Linked DNA regions of Oreochromis niloticus. The protein of the gene in region 1 interacts with the protein of each later gene in a pairwise test. Links are inferred from orthologs where the notes say so. Each region holds a gene or a part of one and is shown in the gene's direction. Other genes may lie near its edges. The genes, in order: transducin-like enhancer protein 1 and foxa2.

Region 1 (7,729 bases):
CAGTCTTTCTATAATGACTCCACCCACATTGAGGTGATACTCAGTTGTAATGGAAAATGATGGAAACCGGGTAGAGTAGATTTGAGTCGAATCGAGCCAAATAGTGTGCTGGGGGACTTCCCCTGCTGCACTGAGCGTTTCCTCTCCACACTACTCTTTTCATTTTCTGTGTTTTACTTCTAACATAATTTGTGATGTGTCCTTGTCTCCCTGTGCTTTCCATTTTTCTTGTATTTCCCTCCATCCCGTAATCAATCACAGCACATAGCTGCCCCTCTCTGGATAATTCTGGATGCATCTTCCTGTTAAAAGGGAGTTCTTCCTTCCCACTTTCGCCAAGTGCACGATATGGAGGTTTTATTTTGTTAGGCTACATTAAAGCACCTTGAGGAAACTGTTCTTGCGAGTTGGTGCCATATAATTTAAATTAAACTGAACTGTATTTAAAAACCGCCAGTCTTTCTTTTAAGAAAAAATTCAGCATTTGTGACTCAAAAACATCACTTTATTTTTACAAGTCTAAAATTTTAATTGTATACGTACAACAGCAAAAAAGGACTATTCTATTCCATCTATTCTAAAACACATTTTAATTCACATTTAAATGTCATATTGACATAAAATGCAGGGCGTTCTATTATACAGGACATGTGGTTTTCTGTGTTTTTACCTTTTTTCCCAGTAACCTGTGGTTAACATTAGGTAGAAACAATTTGTCTCATTCATCACTTTCATAACTCCTCAACACTTTGTGGTGTCTTGTGTCTATAACCTCAAATGCAAATCTCTCATAAAGTAATAATAAAATGCTAATCATCCTGTTTATTTGAGGATACTCTACATGTATTGCCTCATATTGAAAATATAGTGTTAAATAAAACACTGTAGTGCAGAAAAGACTTCAAACAGAAAACATGGATCTGCTACTTTTTCTTAATATAATGAATAGTTTAACTATGGATGTTGTGTTGTGTATTAAAAAGATTTAGTTTTGACTGATGTGTGACCTTTAACTATTATTTGATGGGCTGTAAGGATCTTTGCATTGAGGTGAGTTAAGGTAAGGAAAAAAGGAGCATGTTGCCTTGTGCTTCTTCTTGTTTTGCTGTTTGTAGAACTAATGGAGCACTAAAAATGTTAATGATTACAAGCCCAATTTTGAAAAGGTTAGGATGCTCTGTAAAGAGTAAATCAAAATAGATTGCAATGATTTGCACTGAACCATATTTATTCACAAAAGAACATAAAAAACATCAAATATTTAGATTTTTACTATTTCATGAGAAATAATAGCTAAATTTTAATTTGATGGCCGCAACATGCCTCACCTCACAATAAGTTGGGATGGATGTAAAAGTTGGACGCCTGTGATCTTTGGGCCCTTGGGAACCACTGTGTTAAAAACAGGGATGATTCTGTCATGCAAATCACTGAAGAGTGATTAAATGAGGAAGACTATGAGGAAGAGCGGAAAACTGTTTTGTGATCAGATGAATCGAAATTTGAAATTCTTTTTGGAAAACATGGACACTGCATCCTCTGGGCTTAAGAGGACAGGGACCATCTGGTTTGTTCTCAGCACTCAGTTCAAAAGTCTCTGACGCTATGGTGGTATAATAGGGAATGGAACTTGCAGCTTCCACATCTGGAAAGGCATCAATGCTGAAAGGTACATAGAAGTTTTAGAGCAACGTGTCCTATAAGATGACATTTTTTTCTTGGAAGGCCTTGCATATGTCAGCAAGACAATACTAAACCGCATCTTCCATTTATTTTACAACAGCATGACTTTGTAGTAGAAGAGTCCAGATGCTGAACTGGTTTGTTTGCGGTCCACTCCTTCCAACAACTAAAAAAAAATGGCAGATCATGAAATGGAAAATATGATAAGGAAGACCCAGGACAGCTGAGCAGCTAGAATGCCGTATCAGACAAGAATGGGGCGACATTGCTCTAAAGGGGGCCAACCGCTGGTCTCCACAGTTCCCAGACATTTACAGAGTGGTAAAGAAGAGGGGATACTACACAGGTGTAAATGTGGCAGTATTCCAACTTTTGAGACATGTTGCTGCCACCAAATTCAAAATGTGCAAATATTTTTCTTAAAAGATTTGATGTGTTCTCTCTGGTCTATTGTAAATAAAGTATGAATTTATGAGATTTTTTTTTTTTATTGTTCAGCACATCACAACTTTGCAGAACTGGGATTGTACCTCTTTTTTGTAGGAACTTATTACACAGTATGGAGAAGTTATTGATCTAAATTTTAGATTACGCTTCAGGTATACTCAATGAGGCCAACACTGCACTTGATCATGAACAACTGAATCTGCACTAATGGCAAAAAAAAAGAAAAGATTACATTAAACCTTGAAGCATTTGGGAAGAACAGAAGAGAAGATGGGGGAACTGGGGCCATAAAAGTGTAGCAATGTGCATAATTCAGTGCACCGTAGAGAGGTTTAAGAAGGGAAAACAATAAAAAACAAAACATTATGCAGCAAACAGATAAGTAGCCAAGATTCTAAAAACATGCTGTAAATTTTAGAAATGACACAGACTCAGGGTGATTTTCTTTAGTGGAAATTTACCATATATTCATAGGCAGTAACTGTGATTAACTGTAGCTCCAGAAGCCAGTCGCATACAGCCAAAATGAATAAATTAATATAAACAGTCTAAATGAAAAGGTCCAACCATTAGGTTGATGCAGCACAAAATTTGCCTGTGAATGCCAAACAGTGTGGCTAACTCACATTTCAAGGCAGTCCTGGTTGTTCATTTTAGAGGGGCCCGGGGTGGGGTGAGGGTGTGGGTCACAGGCAGCAAAGGTTAACACGAATGTGAACCAACACTTATAAAAGACAAAATGCATTTAAGCACCCGCACAAATGTGTAGCTGCACATGCAAACCTTTGTAACCGTACCACCCACTCCACAGCACCTGCGTGTCTGTGCATGTGTGAGACCTGCAAAAAACAGGTCACTGTTGGTCACAGTCAGGAGCCTCTCATACGGACTGGATCAGCCGCCGTAGAGGTCAGAGGTCACGTGGGTCAGAGGGTTGAGGTCTCTAAGCCAATCACGGGCCAGTGTGTGGCTGAGGGGCCATCCAGTGTGAAGTGAGCAGTACTTCGATGGGATAAGAGGAGTAGAGAAGATCCCACGAGCCTCCTTTATGACTCAGCTTCAAACACACCTCGCCAGTCACAACGTGGTGACTTCAGCCATGCAGTATTTCATCAGGTAGCTGGCACAAAAACACCCCAAAATGAGTGCAATTTACCAATAGCCTTTATTGGCAATGGAGCTATAACCTGTGCTTGTTTGCTAGGAGAGCAATAAATGGTGACATCTTTATTTTAAAAACATTGCTGAAACTTTTATGTGCAAGAGATATGGTCTTCATTTTTGATGAAGGTGGCAAGTTATATTTCTTCACACATTTTCAATAAAAGCCCCTTTCTCATTTATGTTTTTGTATTCATGTCTTTAGCAGCAACTCTAACTACTCTTGTTACCTGCTTGTTACCTGTTAGCGTGTCTTTATTTACAGCTGCTTCAATCTGGCTTTGACTGCTGGTATAATAAAATACCATTCTGTGAGCTTTATTACAACGAATCAGGAATTCCCCTGGCATTTTTCTGCTTTCTTTGGGTCAAAATCACATTTGCACAATGCCGAGCTACGTTTTTGAAGAGATATAAAGACATCACAGTACAAGTAAGGGTTTTGGATTTGTCCTTGGCCAGCGAAGGAAACATGATGAGGCAAACTGAGCTATCTCTGTAGACTGACTGTATGAAAATAGCAATAAACTGCAACAGATGAGCAGCATAATTAGATTTTTTTAGGAGAAGCAGAACATAAAGAGCGTTCAAGTCCTACTAAATCAATTCCCACGCTGAAAATTATTACATAGAGGGGGAGAGAAAGCAGAGGAAGAGAGAGATTTGGGGTTATTTGTCATGACACTTGCTGGGAAGGTTCACGGCGGCTAAGAAAAACAATATTTCTGTTTTTCTGTTTGTGTGTTTGCCTGTTAATGTGTGCGTGTGTGTATGTGTGTGGACGCGCACATTTACAGCTCTGCTCCTGGTGAACCCACGTTACTTTGATTGACAGCTGAGACTTGCCTTTTTCCCCACCGCACTGCCCGCCCTGCGCGCTTCCGAAGTGGCAGCTCCTTGCGACGCGCTGATTGGTCAAAATCTGCGTAGCTCAACGAGGTCAACAGAATCAGGGAACTTTGCAGAGAGGCTATTGGTCAGTTTCATAACCCACATCATTTTCCCCACGTGGAGCGGAGACTGTGATTGGTGCGGAGGCGTTTTGTGGGCTGGCCTATAGTTTCGGTTAGCTGGGTGAGCGTGAAACCGCGTGAGAAAGTTGCCATTGAGGTAAAGCAGAGCAGGACCGTGAACAGTTCCCGCCGCTGTGGGAGTTGTTGTTATCAAAATTAACGACATATTTCCTCGTTTTTTTATTTTTTGTCTTAAAAACGAGAAATCTATTTTGGAGGCAAGGCTTGCTTCCACACCGATCGAGGAAGTAAATATTTCTGTATTTGTTGACCGTTCAACCGCCAGCCAGTGACCGCGGCGAGTCAAGTGGGAACTCTTCTCTGCAATTAACTTGTGTGGATTTGTTTCTGATGCTCTGAATGAGCGCCGGCAGTTTGCGGCTGTCTGTTGAGGATCTACGGGGTTGATTTTATCTTGTTTGTTTGTTTGGTCGGCTCTCCGTACTCGGAATACATCAGTTCGCACACAAAACAAACGTCGGAGTGGCGAAGGTGGCTCCAGCCCTATTTTTTTTTCTCACCTGGCTCTCCTGTCCTTCTCTTCCCTCCCCCTTCAGCTGCTTTCAACTAATGAGCCGTTTCCCGTGTTTTTCCGGTTGATTTACGGTCGCGCTGCCTGTGGAGCGGAGGACAGACGACGACCGAGAGACGGGAAGAAGCGGAAATTCACGTTAAACGGTCGGTGAACCCAGACGAAGCGGACAAGCGGTCGGTGCCTTTTTTTTTTCTTTTTTAATTAACGATCGTTGGTCCTAATAACAACGGCGGATGGATTCCTCTCCGTGATTGGGAGCTTCCCACAACCTTACTTTTCACCCCCATTTGATCCCACTTTGACGGGGTTTTAAGAAGGAAACGGTTTCATCCTCCCGGAGATAACAATGTTTCCCCAGGGGCGACACCCGGTAAGACGCTCTTTGTGCATTAACAGACGCTCACTTCACCGGGCTCAACCGGGTAACATTACCTCGTTATATGACCCGCCCCTCCGGGCTGCCTATGTGTTTATATTAAGCTCAGTCTTCTAACTAATTGGGCTCTACAGTGGGATTGATTATATTGCGTTTTGGCTTTTTGTGTGTGTTTTTTAAATAACGACTAATATTTAGAAGTTGTTGATATTGTATTTGTGCTTAAAAGTATCAGATTCATAATGTAGACAACAAAATGTGCCAGTGTGATGTTAGTAATCTGTGTGTGTGTGTGTGTGTGTGTGTGTGTACGCGCGCGCACGCGCCAGACGCCCCACCAGGCTCCAGGCCAGCCCTTCAAGTTCACCATCCCAGAGTCACTGGACCGCATCAAGGAGGAGTTTCAGTTTCTTCAGGCACAGTACCACAGGTGGATAACACAAACACTCAATTCACGTTTTCCTCTATTGTCATCTGCCCTCCCAACACTAAACTTCACCCTAACCACAGTCATCCTCATAACCATAATGAACAAAACCTCAACCCTGGCTTCAGACTAACCCATAAACCTGGATTAGGTTCACGTACACATACAAAAGTGCACACATATGCAAGCAGGCATCAGTGTTAGCGCTTGCACTGCGGTAGGTCTACATCTTCTTGATGGGTGAGAGCCAGAGGGGTGGCGTGTGGGCTTAGGGTTTCATAAATCACGCCTTATTTTCCCCTGTGTGTGTAGCTGTGTAGGGAAAAGGCTTGCTCAAGTACTGCATGTGAGCAGAGTGTTTCTTTTTTTCTTTTTGTTTTTTTTTAACTTTGCTCTAGATGTTGTCAGGGTGGGTCATTCACAACAGGTGAAAGCTAGACCTGGATGTTTCTGATTTACATATTCAAAGAAGAGGATTGTCATAAACATATACCCATTATTTGACGGGAACAGTCATCGCGTTTTCCATTTTTGCACCAATTCTTTTGAAACATCTCCATGGACTGTTTTAGAGGGTGTTTAAATCATCAAGCAAGAGGGGCGAGAGAAAGAATGAAAACTGATTAGTTTAACTTGAAATGTTGAGTTCCACTCAAAGTAAATGGTGTATTGTTTTTCTTGTTGTTTTTTTTAAGTCTCAAACTGGAGTGTGAGAAGCTGGCCAGTGAAAAAACAGAGATGCAGAGGCACTACGTCATGGTGAGCTCCCTATACTCAATTCATTTGCCCTGCAGGGTCACACATCACATGCAGGAGTTCTAAAGTTTCCTAGAGGAGAAAGTTGTCCATATCTTATAAAGCAGAATACAAATTCCTATCTGAAGACTCGCAATACAAAATATATGTATTGTTAATACTAAATGAAGGGAAGAGGAAGAGCAACGTGCAAGTGTCACCTGCTTTTACTGTGCAAAGATGCTGTGCTGTTACGACTTTTCATGTTGATTTAAAATGTGTTTCACTGTTTCAGAAAATAAAATATACACGAGAGCTTACGTTTCACTTTTAATCACTGAAGTTTTACCTCTTTTACACAAAGCAATGTGGCTGTGTGTCAAAAGCTTTTCATCTAGCGCAGAAACAAACATAACATGGACAGGAATGCTGTTCAGTTCAGATTGTTTGTGAGGATGTTGCATTGCCTCATGTTCAAGTTAAAAAGCATTTGACTTGCATGTTTTGACTTTCAAAGTAGTTTGACCTCTTTGTGGAACACTTCATTTAAAAGGATCTGCAAATATCTTGAAAGACATCTACAGTGTAGCTAATTATTGTTTAAGTTATTCAAGCTTTTTCTTTCAGGGGTTTAGGATTTGTTTCACCCTTCTAACCTTCTCACTCTTTGCCCCCCCCAGTACTATGAGATGTCGTATGGCCTCAACATTGAAATGCACAAACAGGTATGGCTGCTCGTCCACTCTGTCGGTCCTCTTGTTTATCTCTCTTCCTCTCATGGATGGATTTTGATGTATGTGGAGTGTGGGCCTGTTGACGTGTCCTTGTGTGTGCACAAGTGCATTTGTGTGTGTGTGTGTGTGTGTGTGTCTCTCTCTCTCTTTTACTGTATACGTGTATATGTGTGTTTATTTGTGATCGATGGGGCTCTGTCTCCATTTCCCCAGTTAGGGCCGGCCGGCTGAGCCCAGAGGCAGGATGAATGGCTCTGTAGATTGATTGGTGCTGTCTAGGGGAGCGGCCTGCTTTATTACATTAGAGGGGCAGGGCTGGTGAGGGCAGAGGAATCGATCACGGTGAGGCAGACGGAGGAGATACAGTGGAGCTCTCCCTTTTTGAAGCTGGGAGCTTAACACAGTAACGAGGCAGACTCAAATATGAAGCGCACAATAACAAGGGCAATTACCCAATCAGTGTACATGCACATGCAGAAAGGCAAGGGCACTTTTGCATAGCCCTAAGTAATGTATGCAAAAACGTGAGGATAGTGACAGTTTCAGTTCACAGACGGTAGAGTGAACACAAGCACAGAACTTGTTGATGCATATACATATGTACACAGACAGTGAAAG
Region 2 (8,318 bases), on another chromosome or scaffold:
CTTGTCCACACTGACAGGGATCTGACAGCATGGCGGCCGCGTGTGAACAGCAAGCTCGTCGTGGATTATTGCATGGGCTTGATTGTAGTGATATTTAGACACAGTGCTTCCCATGGGAGCCTGGCACTTTAATTAACATAGCACCAGTGGCTCTGCTCCTGTTCTAATTGCCTTCAGTCTGTGATTAAATGTGTATTGACTCTGCAGTTGGTCCACTAATGAATAACAATGTGCTGATTTGGTGATATTAAATCTTCTGGCTCTAATACACAACCCATCCACGTTTTGTAGAAAGTTCAGAAAGCACAAGGAGTCGTGGCATCTGATCTATGTCAGAGTGTGGGTATATAAGAAATCACAATAATGCTAAAGTTTACCCCCCCCCCAAGTATTTTAGCCTTTAAACCTGTAGCTTTATATCCAGCAACCCTGTAAAGCCTGAGCAATTAAATAATTGCCAAAAAATTCAAATTTATTTTGAAAATTAAGTTTTTATTGAACCTTCTGACAAATTCAATATCTATTTGCATATATGGGTTTTAATTTATATTATATTTGCTACATCTGGCACTTTTTGTTTGTCAATTTATTACTTAAAATAATTTGATCAATTTATTTTGGTTGGGGAAAAAACAAATCACACCGCTGATGTAGAAGTCTGAGAAGCTCTGAAAAGACACACTTGGTGTTACAGGGTTAAGCACGTACTTCTTTCAGTTGAGTTTAAACTGGGTTCATTTAAATAACATAATTTATGCCCACGTGTGTCTCAGTCTTATATGACCCACTAAGTGTGTGGCTATAAGTGTTAAAAACACTTAATATAGCAGTAAATTTGTATTATTTTGTTGCTCTCACAACCTGACAACCAAATATAATCTAGAAGGTTTTTGCAAATCATGTATTAATTATGAATAAAGCAGCTTTTTTTTCTCAGACAAAATTAATTTCCAAACCTGTCAGAAGAATAAACTGCAACAACATAAACACTCAAAATTCTAGTTCAGCGCGTTGGATCCTTCCATCTCTCAGGATTTCATCTTCCTCATTCTACTCCTGTGGTCCAATAGATAAACTGTCACCTTGTTTGACAGATGAAGGCCGGCGGTAAACACAGGTTCTTTTTCTAACATGACAAGAGGAAAGTATTGCATCTACAATGCCTTGGATACAGTCAACATAAAACATATCGAATGGCATTCCTCGCTGCATTCCTCTCAATATCAAAAGGTGCGTGTTTGAGGATAGCCTTACTGCGTTTACGCCTGTGTTTGCGCCCTGACCCACTGGGGCCAGTGCAATAACTTTGGACTGCCTCCCACTGCATCTCGTTGCAATGGCCACTCTCAGTTTTTATTTAGCTAGGTTGTGTGCCTTCCCAGTCCGGCCGCTTTTCAGATTCATTTCCAGGTAAACACAGTGTGGCCAGCCACAAACCTGCAGCCAACAGGCGTTGTCACAGCTGTGGCAGATAATGGCAGGTCCAAACTCCAGCCCGGCTCTGGAATGTTTACTGTCACCACAGGCAAGTTGGCCGCAAACATTTTTTTTTCCAGCACTTTCCAAGAGGAAGACTCTCTTGTTATTAATTTTATTTTGATGAATTACATGCTTAACCCTTTGCCCTGTGCTGTTTTGTGTGGCTCGGTGTACTCAGGAGGGTAGAAAGGCACAAAAAGGTGCATTCTTCAGCAGAGCTTTTAATTTCAGTTGAGAAAAAAATCCTTACTTTGAAAGTTGGAACTTAAAGCTAGCACATAACTGCCAACAGCTCCTGGGTGTTTGAAGGAATGTTCCACCTTCCTCTCACCGAGCAGAGATCTATCCGTTTCCATCCCCCTGCCCTGCACCCAAGAAAACTTCCTGGTGTCATTTTGGGGCCACGTGTGTGCTTTGCTTTCACCTCTTTAACTCAGTCATTACATTTTCACCACTTAGTGGATTCCCTTATCATAACCAATAAAGGAATGACACCTAAATGTGTGAAATGTAACACCCATCATCCTAAAGGCTAATTAATCCAGAGTGTGGCAAATCTAACTGGAGGAGAAAGAGGGCTACACTGCTGGTTCAGGTGCCACAAGGAAATTTTCAATGGAAATATATAAATTTTATAATAACACACTGAGCTGTGTTCTGACTCAATCTCATGAGAACAAGTCAATGCAGTCCTGGCCTCATTTTCAGTGCATGCGGGATTGTGAAAGCTTCAGCTGGGAACAGAAAAACTGCCAAGAAACGTGGCAGCGGTTTGTACATATTGCAGCAATGACCATCAGGCCATTAGATTCCCTGCTCAGTGTGTTGAAGTGAACTATTGAAGTGCGTATTTTAAAGCTGGTGTCAATGGAATAAACCAGAGGTTAAATAGAAAGGGACACACTGCCTGTATTTGACCCAAAGGTTTACCTGGTCTGAACCTCAATCATAAGCAAAATGATTTACAACATTACTTTAATTTGACTGTGAAACATCAAAAAGACTCTGAAATCTTTGGATAAAGATTTTCGTTTTATATTGCTACTTTTTTTTAGTCCAGTTTTACATAATTACGGTAGAAGAATGGATACTTGGCATATTTTTTTATTCACTAACAGACCAGCTTACAAGTATATACATGCACGTGTAATTAACCTTCTGAATTTAAGCCGAGTGTAACGCAATGCAAGATTTTCAGTCTTTGGTGATTCAATCATCTTTTCTGTACCAACCATAAAGAGGCAGTGATTAACTACTCTGGCTTTTAAAATTCGGGAGGGACTTGTTCTGATTCTGTGGAACATTTAAACTGTGTTTTGGAGCTCACATTTCTGAAATTCTCCACATTTTGTCACTTTGCTGACACTTTTTCTTTACTTGTTTTTTTTTTGTTCCGTTTCCAAAAACTGAAGTCAGGCCCCATATATCAAATTTACCGTGTGATTTCTTTGGTTATCTCTTTCCACTGACAAAGTCAGAGGGGGTCATAAATAAAAATGTTACAATTGTACAGAGTGTGAGATAGAGTCAGAGTGATATGTAGTGTCTGCTGTGGAGAGGAGGTAACATTTTTTTGTGAAAAGGCCAGTTATTGTTCTGGAGTGAGGATGCAAACACTACACCAAAGAATAATAAAGAAAAACAAAATACGCTGAATAGAAATTACATCTGCATAAAGCCCTGCACCAGTTTTTTGTTTTTCCAAAATGTGACCTTCACTCATGTGAGAGGACTCTGGAAAGTTGATGATTAACCATGGATTTAGCTTCATGTCTCATTCAGGAACATAATGTTACACAGGTCAAGGACCCTTTTAAAATGCTCACGGTTTTTAGTTTCTGTAATTTTAAAATAAGCACATCATGAAATAATATTTTTAACTCATATATATTGGATTTAGCGGTACCAGAACCATTCCAGGTCCTTTTTGAACCCGTTTTCATACTTTTTAAAAGAAAATATGCAACATTTTTCACATTCAGCGTGACCACATCGTTGCGTAACACACACAAACATACTGGCTGGCCATGCAAGCATTCACGATCGGATTTTTTTTAGCACATTTATGCAACAGAAATGCGTCAGAATATTTGTAAAACCTTTTTAAAATTATATTTTAAAATCTATGAAAAATGTCTTCTTTGAAATCCAGTTACTCCATAATGAGCTCACACCAAAAATATTCAACGCGCCTAATCTTCCGCCCTTAACACTTTATAAAGGCTCTATTATACACAAATATTAGATGACTGTTTGTTTTAAGCGTTTTGTGATTTTGCAGCGACTGTCCCTTTCAAAAATAACATTTCACAAAACTTATTGTTGTTGACTCAGTCGAGCCGGGAGAGCGCAGATTTGACCATCTCCAGCTTTCTCCATTTCCACCTCTCCGCCGGTGCAATCCCAAATCCTCAAACACACAGAGCTTTTTCTCATGATCTCATTTCCAAGTTAAGCAGACTGTGTTAGTCCCTCGTCAACACGACAGGTTTACTCGCCTTTACTAATGGGGCTCTATACTGATAGTTATGCTCTTGCGTAAATATGCAGTCAAATAGATGTACAACTACTGACACGTGGCTGGCATCGCTCTGCAGCCTCACCTTGATGTTTGTGTCATACAAATACTGTACGGGTTGCGAAAATGAGAGGCCCTCAACACGCAGGCCCGCACGTCTGATGAAAAACAGGAGTTTCGTGCTTTAAAAGGTCTCCCAACAAACAAAATCAGAAAAGCTGTCTGCCTATACAACCACGCGAACTCTCGAATGACCTATTTAAATATCAGAATGTGGGCTGTAACGTCATCACTTCCGTGTTTTTCTTGATTTCGGTTATTTTTCATCTCTTTTTTTGAGTCAACCTAAAGAAAAAGCGCCCAACTTTCGTTGATTTTAAAATATTTCACGGGCGTTTGAGTTCAAAGAATGACTTTATGTGCCACAGACAGTAGAGCCAGTCGGAGGTGGCATCCGAGAGAGGGCGCTCTGAAGCTGTGCCTGGCGTATTCGACACTAATTAAAACATTTAGAAACAGTAATTCAGTCTCCCAGGTTAAGAAATCAGGTTAAACTGTGCCTTTGTGCAAATATCACCTACATTAGTTGGGAAAGAGGTAAGGACTTTAGTACTGACAAAATGTAAACTTTAGCTTGTAGGAAGTTTTGATATTGTTTAAAATGACCAATTGTATCAAACAAGCTGCGGTCATTTACACGGATCTCGCTGCTTTTTCTGTGGACTAAGCAAAGCTGAAAGAGAAATCCTCTTCAGGTGAACATCAGAAAGGTTTAAAAACTGTGTCTTATCATTTATGTAAGACATAAACATGTGTTCTTGGATTTATATAGCAACAAAGCTATGGCAGAATAATATTTAATCCTGTATCAGTTAATGGTTTAATCTGCCTTAAATACTCCTCTGTGGAGATTTTTGCTGAAACGAGATTTTACTTCATTTCTAAACGTTTTCGTGTTCTTTGGTGTTCTCGGTGTAAAATAGTTAAAATTTATATGTAGGCTTAGGCAATAAATTCCTTGAATGCAACGCAATAAAATGGATTATGATTTGAGCTCAGCTGAAGTGGAATAAGCACTTTGGAGGATGTGCGTAATGAAAAGCGCACCAAGGAAGAGCGCCAAACATTCCTTTTATAGTTCTCCCCCCCTTTTTCTGCCCCAACCAAAATACAATAAGATTAGTTTATAATGAAGCTTTTCATATGAAACTGTTCTTTTCAGTTAGCGCAGGTGTACAATTGGGGTGGGGGGATGCTCGAGGAGTCTCACGCCTAGGTGCGAGGAGATTATTCAAATAGGGCCCAAGGCGTAGAAGTAGGGATTGGAGGCTTGCCTAGAGCACAGAGCTATATCACAGCGTTAACAAGCAGCACGGAGCGTCATTTGAACTCCAGTCACTGACAGACGCATTTCACGGCTGGCTCCATAAGACACACATGCTCCAGTCTTCGACGAAGGGACACACCGACGACCTAAATACACTCAGTGGTCCCCAGTTACCTGCTATTAGAGAGACTTTTGGCTTTCCCTCTGCTGGGAGACGCTTTGTAAAAGTCCTCCATGATGCTTGGAGCAGTTAAAATGGAAGGACACGAACACACCGACTGGAGCACCTACTACGGAGAGCCCGAGGTGGGTACCTTAAATATATATTTTTTTCTGTCTAAAGCCGATCCCATTTTATACAACTCAATATTAGCCCTGAGATAATATTAACTTTGTGATCAAATATTGACTTGAGGCGCCTCCAAATCCTCCCCCATCTCCACGCAGCGCACTATCCTAACAAAGTTGCTTGACATGTAGGGGAAGAAACTTTTCGCTCGGATTATAATTTCATAAGTCTCTACGTGTTTCTACTAAATCGGGTTATTGTTGGTCAGGTTTCCACCCAATAAACACGTGTGCCGTTTGATTTCGGGCAGATTTTTCAGTGGACACACGCACACCGAGTACGATTTTCATCTAGGTTGCACATTTTAAGAGGAATAGTCACCTCAATTTTATTTATTTATTTATGTTTTGTTGTAATAGTGGCGTTAAATATATTGTTAAATATACACACCCCTGTTTTTCATTTCTAGGAAATACTTCGCGCGAGAGCAAACGCTTACAATGCCACTTCACACTTACGAAACCGGGAAGCTTTAAAATATTCAGTATTATTTATGGAGATGAATAAGGCGATTTTTATCAGGCTCAAATGATAACGATTCGCCGTGTTTAGAAATCACTGTGCCGCTTTATTCCTCGCTGCAATGCCAGATGAAACTCACGAATGCCTCTTTCCCTCACTGACAGTGTTACACCTCGGTTGGCAACATGAACGCGGGCCTGGGAATGAACTCTATGAATACCTACATGAGCATGTCCGGCATGAGCACCACTGCCAACATGACGGCCAACTCCATGAATATGTCATACGTCAACACGGGCATGAGCCCCTCCATGACCGGCATGTCACCGGGAACCGGAGCCATGAACGGCATGGGCGCAGGGATGACGGCAATGAGCGCAGCCCTGAGCCCCAGCATGAGTCCCATGACCGCACAGCCCGCGTCTATGAACGCCCTCACGTCGTACTCAAACATGAACGCCATGAGCCCGATATACGGACAGTCTAACATCAACAGGTCCAGAGACCCAAAGACCTACCGCAGGAGCTACACGCACGCCAAACCCCCGTACTCCTACATTTCTCTCATCACCATGGCCATCCAGCAGTCCCCGAGCAAGATGCTGACACTAGCCGAGATCTACCAGTGGATAATGGACCTCTTCCCGTTTTACCGACAGAACCAGCAGCGCTGGCAGAACTCCATTCGCCACTCTTTGTCTTTCAATGACTGTTTCGTCAAAGTGCCCAGGTCGCCGGATAAACCGGGGAAAGGCTCGTTTTGGACTCTGCACCCGGACTCCGGGAACATGTTCGAGAACGGCTGCTACCTGAGGAGGCAGAAACGCTTTAAGTGCGACAAGAAGATGAAGGAACCGGGCCGCAAGTCAGGGGACGGCGGCTCCTCCAACAGCAGCTCAGAGAGCTGCAACGGCAACGAGTCCCCGCTCTCCAACTCCTCCTCCAGCGACCACAAAAGGTCCCTGTCGGACATGAAGACGAGCCAGGCCCTGAGCCCGGAGCACACCGCTGCTAGCCCGGTGACGCAGGGGCAGCACCTCATGTCTCAGCATCACTCGGTTCTTGCGCACGAAGCCCACCTGAAGCCGGAGCACCACTACTCCTTCAACCACCCTTTCTCCATAAATAACCTCATGTCCTCGGAGCAGCAGCATCACAAAATGGACTTAAAGACTTACGAGCAGGTGATGCATTACTCCGGCTATGGCTCCCCCATGGCGGGACCTCTTTCCATGGGCTCCATGGCGGGGAAAGCCGGTCTGGATTCTTCATCCATACCTGACACAACTTACTACCAAGGTGTCTATTCCAGACCAATCATGAACTCCTCGTAAACTCTTTTATCCCCTCATGTAATGTGGACTTTCTTCCCATTCACTTTGTACATTTGTAAAAGAAAAAAGTATAGACTTTGTGTACAATATGTATTTCAGATATTTTTGACGTTTCCCACAGTTTTAGTTGTCGAGTTTGTTAGTAGCCTAATTATTTTGAGAGGATGCTGATATTAATGATTAAAAAACACTGATAATGTGACGGAAATCTGCTCAGAAGTTGGTTTCAGGACTGGACCCAAAGACAACCAACAACAACTTGCTGTAAAATAGCCTGCGTCCGCATAACTGGACTCGTAAATGACTCGAAATGCCTCGCTGGATTTGTTCAATCATTTGTGTAATTCCTATTTATGGCTTGTATATGTGTATTCTTGTAGTGACAAGAACAGAATCTATATTAAAGTGTTATTGGTTTTGTTTTCTGAATGTCACGGTGTTGGACCATTTATTATTATTATTATTATTATTATTATTATTATTATTATTATTATAGGAAAAATTAGATTTTATCCAAAAAACGAACTTCAAACGGAGAATTTGCAGGAGAAAGATACAACTTGAGGCGGCATTAATTTAGTCCAGTTTTGGTTTATATTATCATAACAAAAACGAATCCATTCATCCATGTTTGGGATCATAAAATACGTTTCTCACGATGTATTTATTTATTTAATTCAAATTCTGGAATTTATTCTTACCCACGTAAGGCGCACAGTCAGCTTGGATTAATAGCTTTGCTGGATAAAACCGGGAACAATGCTCCCAATTTGTCATTCAGGAAATGTAAACAACACACATATATGCTCATTAATCCCAACCACAAATTCAAATATTTATATGAAAAAA

Evidence for each region.
Region 2: the proteins of transducin-like enhancer protein 1 (region 1) and foxa2 interact in a two-hybrid assay, tested with the Homo sapiens proteins (2 studies listed by BioGRID and IntAct). The link is inferred for Oreochromis niloticus from reciprocal best matches to the Homo sapiens genes TLE1 and FOXA2.

Annotation. Positions count from the first base shown.
Region 1 is NC_031977.2:21,197,692-21,205,420, reverse strand, and holds the start of transducin-like enhancer protein 1, read left to right. Parts: upstream 1-4,341; 5' UTR 4,342-5,185; coding exon 5,186-5,209; intron 5,210-5,544; coding exon 5,545-5,645; intron 5,646-6,337; coding exon 6,338-6,401; intron 6,402-7,057; coding exon 7,058-7,102; intron 7,103-7,729. UniProt on the Homo sapiens protein: Transcriptional corepressor that binds to a number of transcription factors. Inhibits NF-kappa-B-regulated gene expression. Inhibits the transcriptional activation mediated by FOXA2, and by CTNNB1 and TCF family members in Wnt signaling.
Region 2 is NC_031983.2:28,013,277-28,021,594, reverse strand, and holds foxa2 (forkhead box protein A2), read left to right. Parts: upstream 1-5,215; 5' UTR 5,216-5,558; coding exon 5,559-5,630; intron 5,631-6,299; coding exon 6,300-7,469; 3' UTR 7,470-7,898; downstream 7,899-8,318. UniProt on the Homo sapiens protein: Transcription factor that is involved in embryonic development, establishment of tissue-specific gene expression and regulation of gene expression in differentiated tissues.